Drosophila melanogaster: one gene and its partner. The protein of the gene in region 2 interacts with the protein of the main gene of each other region in a pairwise test. Each region holds a gene or a part of one and is shown on either strand. Other genes may lie near its edges.

Region 1 (5,087 bases), on a different chromosome or scaffold from region 2:
TCTAGGTGAAAACAAGACATATAATCAAATCAATCATCAATCAGCGGATGCATATGTATGTGTTATCTGAAGGCTATTAAATTATAAAGTAAGGAGAGCGAATCAATCAAAGCGAGCTGTTTTCGAAAACATGTGTTGTGGAGTTGACAACGAATCAAATCAGAACTCTTAAGATACATTTACATTGGATAAATTTCAATTTTAACTTCTAAAAGTGGATACCAACTTTAATATAACATACTTGTCAACTAACCAGGGACATCTTATTGCCCGAATGTCCGTACCATTTCAACCAGAAGCTGGGCCCAATTAAAAGTTTCAATTCGAATTCAATCGGCCGAGTTTAAAAGTTCAACCACTTTGGGCCAGCATTCGAAAGTTATATTCAGTTTATGAATGTTCAAAGGTTTCCGATTTTCCCAGCTCGTGCTCGCTCCGCATTATCATAATTTTCACGCGATACTTGGCGGGTTTTTCTCATGTGCCCAATAGGCGACATCGACGACATCATAAAAATTCACTCTTCATGACGCTGGTTCCCCCACATGGCTCCCCGCCACATGGCTCGTCTCATGGCCGTGTTTGTGTTCCACATCGATCCGCACCACCGCGCCACTCCAGCACCACGATTTTAAGACGCGGTGTCCCAGCTCCGGCTCCATCACTAAGCTTAATGAAAAGCTGTTTTTGTGTGTTGTCTCCTCAGCGGAGGAAGCGTGTGTGACTGTTTGCCCATGTGTATATATGTGGCATATACTTTGACTTTTGATGGCAGCCATGACGGGTTTTCGGGCTTGGGGCTTGGGGTTTGCATTGGACTCTTTCCCCATCTCGGGCCAGCCGCTTTGTTGTTGGCTCTGTTGATTTTTGAATCATTTCGTGACTTTGATATTTACTCAGACGCTTTGAGGGGGTTTTTTCCTCCTATTTTTTTCGTATGAAATGTGCGCGCTATTCCAAATCGAAGCGAACCTTTGGTAATATGGCGCTTACGTACTCAATGTACAGGTACGCACTAATGGTCGCCGATGGAAACACATTCGGCGAATCTCATAGATACATTTCGATGGGTTCAGCTTTAACTTTTAAAGGAAGGAGTGCCAGCGCACTCTAATGGTTCTTAAACGATTATCACTAAAGTCACTAAAAATCATGTTAAATTTGCAGCATTTTATTATAATAGTTCATTATATTATAATAATTATAATAATATTATTATAGTTCAACTTTAACTGATTCCGCGCTGCATTTGTAGTTAAACATGAAATTCAATAAATGCTAAAATATTAAATGTATTAAAATTAGTTAGAGATGATGTTGCTAACCTATCGATTTTCTATAAAATATAAAAACCAGTGTATCTATTATATAATTCAAAGCAATAACCACAATTGCCCTCCTCTCAGGTAATCGAACACGTGCAATAATAAATGCTCTGTTTGTTTATTCGCTACTCCGATCGACTTATCCCACTCCCATTCGCACTTTGTTGAAAAGGACAATATTTCGCACCTGCTCAGGATGCTGGCGGGTGGCATGGATGACGACAAGTCACTGGTAGCCAGTTGGAGGCGATTAAACCGAATCTGCTAAATTTCACACACCACTTCGCGTGAAAATAAACCGAATTTAAATTTAGATACTGCGTGGGCGAACTGAAATGGAAATAGCCGTGAATTGGCTCGATTCTAATGCAATCAATAATGTTTCCGGAGGACAATGTCAGAGGTCGCTCCATTGAGAACTTGGTGACCTTTCAGGATATTTTCGATATATTTTTTTTGGCGATTTGTGGGCGTTTCTTTAAACACCGATTGTCACACTTTTGTTTTCAGCACTCCACGGCACAGTGGTAGGCGCACTTTTATGAGCGGCGTACTAAAATTTTGTACAAACTGTAATTAATTAGTAAGCATTTGTCAAGTACTAAACGATCTGCGTGGGCGTTGCGGAGGGGTGAGGGGGGTTCCTTCGGGTCTGTTTATGGGCCTCTTTGATTTGCATTTAATAGGATAATTTTCACATGCGTCGTAATTGGACGCCTCAGATCGATCCAACTTGATGTTTTTTTTTTGGCAATACCCAGACGCATGTCTGAAAATTCTTATGTCCCCACTAATTTGCGTGTGAACGTCGGCCACGCCCACGGCCACTCCCGCCCCTTTCTCGGCTGCTGTTTTATGTCATTAGAGGTATTATTAGGATCGTTAATGGGGGATTTTGTCACTTGCCCGTTGGATTTCGGGCGAGCCGCCAACACTTCGTCTTGACTTTTTTCTTCTTTTTTTGGCCAAGTGTCAAAATATGTCTGTTTGGTGATTTTGTTTGGCTTCGGCATTTGATTTTCACACGTTCGTTTAAATAGGTTTGCCAATTTGCTATTTGATTACGTTTATGGTCATATGTCACACGGAGGAATAAACACTCGCACTTTATGGCACCCAAACTTTTGAATCGGAGAAGTGACTTTATGATTTTTTTGGGAGCCATATGTTTTGGGGTCAGTGTTTGTCTGCCACAATTCTACTTCATTTTTTACATTTTCTTCTCAAAAAGTTAATTATTTCCAAATATATATTTAAAAGTACAACATATCCTTTGCCGACGCATAAGTCTACTTCCATCGTAAAAATGTCTGATTTTTCTTTTTTGAATAGTAAAAAGATTAGTCAACGTTTCGCAATGTTTAATAGCTGTTATTAGCATTTAAAACGAAGTGTTTAACACTTCTGTTCGAAAATAAAGATGTTTTAAAAAGGAATACAAGCGTTTCTTAAAATAAACTTCGAATTTTCGTTTAAGTTTCTTTCTTATGAAGTTTAAACTTAAAATTTTGAAACCAAAATTGAGATAAAGTGCAACTAACTTACCAATTTGGTAACCTGCTTCACGCCGAAACTCGGCGCTCTCGATATAATCCAGTGGTAAACTCCTTATGAAGATGGTTTAGGTTTAGATTTAGATTTTAGTTGAATACGCAACACTGCCAAATCACGCACTTTTATAGCACTAATTCCCTAGAGGGTTCACTTTATCAAGGATCACTATCGTATGAGTTCAGATTCAAGTGGGAAGATACAGCCGCGTGAAATTTGTTTTCAAAGATTTCAAGATATTTGATTCGAGTCGAGATTCGAGATTGGAGTTTAGCGCTGCCGCCGATCGTGTGTTTGCGTTGCCACCGTTCCCGAGCTAATGATCAACGATCGGTGCTAATTTTTTCAACCATCACAAGCCGCGCTTTCGGTTCCTCTATTTCTCATCTCTCGTCTTTGGCCAGCCGATCGACATCGTGGCATCGTTGTTGTTTTCTTGTTTTGGCCCATGGATGATATGATGGCCGGCTAGCGTGCTAGCTCTCTACCGGTCCTATAGCCATCTCGTTTTGGCCCGATCGATGATCGGCTGGCTGACGGATGGTTAGGCCACACCCTCTAACAGGTAAGACAGCGGCGGTATTTCGCCTCTCGCTCGCTCACCCGGCTGGTCAATTTGCGGCCATCGCCATCGAGAACCCGGCAACAGGTAGAGAGCCCCCATAACATCGAACTCTCAGGTGGGTCGGATCGTTCAGGGCGAGCACACCTTTAACTCTCAGAAGGCCCAGAATTGGAGTCCTAGGCGGGATTTATATACCCCTGCTGTAACCCCCGTGGCTAATCGTTCAATTTGCATGCGCCAAAAATTAAGTGTAACGTGTTTCAGTTGCTCACATTTGTTGCACAGAGAGAAAAAGTCTCTTATCTTTTGTGATCTTTATTATAGACGCTCTGAATTTGTCAAAGGAATCCTTGTCTCAGCCGTAGATTGGAAGTTGAAGGAATCTTTTATCTTTATATCCCATCCGTTGTTATTGAAACTTCTTTCATTAAATGCCTACTGTACATAATCATGGTTTTTGAGTTACTACTTGGAGTCCATATGTAAATAGTTTAATAAGTGGTTGATATCAAATAGATGCAATACAAAAGATCAAGATATTCACTAACAAAAACCCTTAAACTAGGATAATCTGAGATTAAAATGTAAATCTGAGTTGTTTTTTTCGGTGTGTCTGAGGTCTGGATTCACAGTACGTTGTTCGTTGTTCGCCGCAGAGTGGCTTTGATTTGTTTAGACGCTCGTTTTGAGTTTTGTTTGTCCAACCAATTAAAACTTTGTATTTTTTCCACGGGGTCTGTTTGCACTCCAAAACGGGTTTGCCGATCCAACACTTTTTTTTTTTGGTAAAATTTTCAGCTGAATTTCGAGTTGTAAACATTTGACTCTGGTGCGTCAATTTGTGTATGTGGCCAAAATACAAGTTACCCCGGGGCGGAGTTGCTGGATTTTTGGGGCGGTGCGTGACCACACATGACCAACTGAAATTTTGCATCCACATTGGAGAGAATCACACTTTAAAATGCTATATCACTTGTATTTTTTACTTTACATTTCGAACATTATATTTTATTATCGAAGATAAAATAGAAAAAATGTACCTAAAAATATCTTTTAATTATCCGTGTATTATTGCATTGATTTCATTGCTAATTTATATAGTAAATACAGTAAAATGCGATTCAATGAAAGTTTGCTGGGTTGTTTCAAAGTTGTATATTGCGAGACTCGAAACACCAACTATTTATAGCTTTTCCGTGATTTTTTTGAGATCACGCGCCTCTTGCATCGGCAGTCTGTGTTTTTTCGTGGATCGCAGCTCGCTTTTTAGTCGGTTCCAAGTCATCGCCGCGTGTCAATGGACCGACTTTATCTAGGGGGCTGGGAACGGTCAAAAAGTTGGGCATTCTATGGCGCTGAAAGACAAACAGCTCGCGGCCAACGATGGCCATTAGTTAAGGGTCTGGTACAACAGTACAACCGTCGGTAGTAAATGAGAAAAATCAACAGACTAGGGAACTCAATAAAATAGTCGGAGATGGAAATGAAAATGGAGGGGACTCCGGAGGGCTGAGCGTTGGCTAATGGAGAAATGTATCTGGCGGATAGACAAGTGAATCGAATGGATCGCCATGTAGTTGTCGCAACCGTGACGGATGTCTGGGCTACCTATTCCAGTTCCCTTTGGTCATTCATTAAAGATGCCG
Region 2 (4,268 bases):
ACAAAAATATATATAGAAATGCGTATTTATTCATTTCGGTGGCAAAATGTAGTATACTTTTGGGCTGAGAAAGTATATTTACAAATGTCTGGTTGTAGCTTGAAAACCGATAATTTTCAACTTACCGTGCAAAAATAAAAAATATTTGTGGCTTTCTTGATTCTCAACACCAGGCCACCATAATCAGTAGAAGGTGTCAACTTCTGGAATTCCAGTTCGTCAAAAATCGAATATTTACAAACTCGATTTTCTCCAAAACATGTTTAATAGTCATAGCTAACTATTACTATCACTATTTAAACGATCCTGGGAAAAAAATTTTTTTTTCACTTTTCAGATTTTCGGTAAGGGGTACCATCATTAAAATTTGCGAAAAATTGCAAAATTTTCGAAATTCCAATTTTCAATACAGGTCGATAGGGAATTTTGTTACGAATTCAACGAGGTATGACATTCCACTTTTTGACAACTATTTTTATTGCTATAAAAAAAAAATTAGTATAATTACACAATTTGTGGCAAATTTATTAGATTTTTGGATTTTAGATGTTTTTTTTTTAGATTGGCTCACCATCCTAATTTTATGATTTATGTTACTTGCTTACTGATTTCGTTCGATTGGAAATTCAATTCACAGTTGCAAGTTTTTTTTTTTAATGATTTGTCGAATTTGCTTTTTATTTTAAACCGTAAATTATTTAGAATGAAATTTGAATAAACAATACAAACTATAACTATTGATTCTGCATCTGCAATTTGCACTATTAACTTTGTAATTTATTGGTAGATAAAAAAAATAGCAAATCGGGGATAGTATACTATCTCCGAATGCTTTGGCAAAGCCGGTATCCACTTTTTCCAAGATTCCATCCATTAGATTCCTTATTCTACGTCCTGCGCCGTTTGCCCAGACTGAGATCGGTGGCTCCGCCTTCCGGCTTGAGGCGTCGCTTGCTACTCCGTCCGCTGGCCGATTTTACACCGGATACGGTGCCACTGATTCGCTGAGTCTCGGCCATGGCCAGCGGAGCAGTGGTCAACGGCAGGGGTGGGCCGTTTAACGGATGCCCAAGTGGGAGTGTAGACTCCAGGAGAAGCTCGCTTTTGACAACGGCTCCCGGGGCAATCATCAGCAGGTCGTTGCCAGCGTTTCCGTTGGCATGTCCGTGCCCAATGCCATTCCTGTGCATCTGCCCGTCGGTGCGTTCACACTTGATGTGCCGTACAGGCGGAACATCTGGATTCTCCAGATTCTCCCCGTCCGCCGCATGGCCATTGGCCATCCTATTGTCGTTGTTGTTCGGCTCCATTTGAGCCCTGATCGGATGCGAGGGCGCCTGCCGCTGCTGCCACTCGAGGATGCCCGTCAGCAGCTTAATGTACTTAATGGCCGAGCGCAGGATCTCGTTCTTCGATAGCTTCTTGTCCGGCGGATGTGTGGGCACCAGCTTGCGCAGCTCTGCAAAGGCACCGGACACGTTCTGCTGGCGCCATCGCTCCCTTGTGTTGGTGAACACCTTGCGCACACCGCCGGTGGCTCCTACGCCGCTGCCGCCGCCACTGGATGCATTGCCGCCGGAGCCATTGCCTCCACCACCGCCGCTACCGCCGACTGAGCTTCCGGAGCTGGCCGGCGCGGTCAGCAGTCCGTTGCGGGAGTGACTGCGCGGCGAACTGGACAGTGAGCGATTCGCTGCGGGCGGAACAAAGGAATCGAGCGTTATGTATATAAGAAATTGGGAACTACGGGATGTTCTAGGAGCTCTAAAGTTTTAAAGACTAAGCCTCACCATCCGCCTGGTTGCCATTCAGAACGATGTAATCGCGAAGATCCTCCTCGTCCTCCTCCGTGTCGTTGAGCGAGAAGTCGGAAAGCTCCGCGTCACCGTCTCCATCGGATATGGACTCCGTCTTGGGCTGCAGGTGGGGCGTGGCATGTCGGAGCAGGGCGGGCGGATGCCTGCCAGCGGCAGTGTCCCGCATGCTACCATTACCGTTCAGGTGCCCGGATCGCGGTGACTCGTTGGTCTGGCTGTGGCCGGAGGATCCGCTCGAGGCGGTGCTCCGTTCGTCCGCGTTATCCGCTCCGTTCGAGCTGCTCGGTAGCCAGGCCATCTCTCCGATTCGCCGGAGCAGAGGATACGTGCGTTCTGTTGCGTTCGAAGCGCAGCAGCAAAGTGAGCAACTGACTGGGTAACTGGCACTGTGTGTCTGGGAACCAACCCCCTATGGACAGAGGGCGGGGCCAATGGCGCAGCATCCACCCCCGGACGAGGCATACACACAAAATGGGCGTACTCGTACATACATATGTATGTACGTTTGGGTTACCAATGTTGGGCTGACTTCTTACCGAGCCTGTTACTTTTTGATTAGATTAGATACCAAAACATAAAACGAGTATGAGCAAACTATAATATATATTAGCATAAGCAGCTGTCTTAGAAGTAAATGAAATTCATAATTTATTTAGTAATTTAAACGTATCCAATGCCAATCCAGTAACTGCACATGCCAGGACAACAAACATTCTCAGTTGTTCCTTTCATAGAGCCCAATGTATCTATACACGACTACTGATGACCGATGGGATGGGGTATGCCCACACTTAGACGCTTCTTGGGCTGCTTTGCCGGCGGCTGCGAGGGTCGCGCCACATCGCCCACCTGCTCCCGATCCCGGTCCTGTTCCTTTCGCTCACCCGGTGTCTCCGGCATGGCGGACTCCATTGCAAACTGGGGCGATGTCCTGTCCCCGGGCGCACCATTTGCACTGGGCACAAGCACGGGCGTTAGATTCTGTCTCATCATGGGCGAGGGATTGACGAATATCATCTTGTCGAGCATCTCCTCGCAAATACCGGCGTGACCCTCGCGCACCACGCGCGGCCGGAAGATGTACGAGGTGGCCGACATGCGGGCATCCATATACTGCACCTGCACCTCCACGGGAAAGTCGCTGCCCAGTACCTCGCCAATCTCAAACGGAGCGCTGTCCGCCACGTGCAGTCGCAGCGGCAGGCGCGGCGACATCTTGAAGGTGACGCGCCGCACGAACCGCGACAGGTCGCCGCCATCGCGACCTGGGCGCAGGTAGACGCCCCACGTCGGCTCCAGCATGTAGGGCATGTCCGGATCGCACTGTTCCATGCGGCAGCCGATCACGATGTCCCGACTGATCACACAGCGCCCGGTGACAGTGATCGGCGGAGTGCGGTTGCAGCTCACCCGCTGGCAGTCATCGACCACATTCTGATGGCGCAGGAGATTTGTGTAGCTCATCACGATTCAAAAAAAAAAAAAAAAAAAAAACTAATTTCAATTTATGTTTAACTAAAAATTTTTCTACGAAAATTTGAAGGCAACTTTAACTTGTTTGCTTGGTGTGATGCTTTTTCAAATCGAGAGCGACAGCAAAAACAGAAGCCCACTAGATATGCATTTAACTAAAGTAATAACTAATGTACATATAATTTTTTATAGATTTTATCATACTACCTAATAACCGTTGCATGTCTGCTACCTTGTTTTCCCCCTCGAAGCAGATGTTAATCCCAACTTGGGATTAAGGTTCTTCAAAAGTTTCGCGAAAGGCGTTGAAATTTCAACGCCTTCGTCGTCCTACAACGGGCCATCTCCGATTTTTTCACGCCTTAAACTGTGATTTTTTCTAATTAATTAACGCAGAATTTGTTGGTGGACTAGGGAAGAGTTAGCGGACTTGGGAGTACGCAATGCGCAGACTCCGAAGGGCGGAGTTAAGTGCTAAGTCAGAGGAATTTGGGGTTGGTGCGGCCCGGGCATTTACTTGGCCGGGAATATTCCGGGCACAGCGACGTTACTTCAGTTCAGCGGGGCAGCTGAATTCTAATGTGGACATTTTGAGGATAGCGAGACCATTCAGTGCAATCTGTAGGTGCTCCAAGGCCAAGGACTTCGTTTAAAGGTCTGCTTCAAGTCCACCTGATCTGAGCCCCGTATCTGTTATATTCCTTCATAAGTTGCCAACCGAGCAGCTCTAAACGAGACTTCCCAAGGAAACCTAGTTTGGAGAATATGACACTATATTTCTGATATTAATTTAAACTGTTCATTACATTGATATAATTTTTTTACAGACATCTATCTCATCAGAAAGTAGTCAAGTGCTGAAGTAATTTCACTTGAGCTTGTATCTCCGTTTGTGCTTACAGTTCAACGCTGGGACGGAATTGTGGTGCCAGTAATGCCACCTGATGTGCTACGTCCATCCTCTAATCGCAATCCATA

Evidence for each region.
Region 1: the proteins of HLH3B (region 2) and byn interact in a two-hybrid assay, tested with the Drosophila melanogaster proteins (one large-scale study listed by BioGRID).

What each region holds. Positions count from the first base shown.
Region 1 is NT_037436.4:11,925,807-11,930,893, reverse strand, and holds the start of byn (brachyenteron), read right to left. Parts: upstream 3,202-5,087; 5' UTR 2,871-3,201; intron 1-2,870. UniProt on the Drosophila melanogaster protein: Required for the specification of the hindgut and anal pads.
Region 2 is NC_004354.4:2,679,544-2,683,811, forward strand, and holds HLH3B (helix loop helix protein 3B), read right to left. Parts: upstream 2,181-4,268; 5' UTR 2,116-2,180; coding exon 1,791-2,115; intron 1,694-1,790; coding exon 888-1,693; 3' UTR 656-887; downstream 1-655. Other genes in the region: CG2652 (uncharacterized protein), read right to left, coding at 2,574-3,281.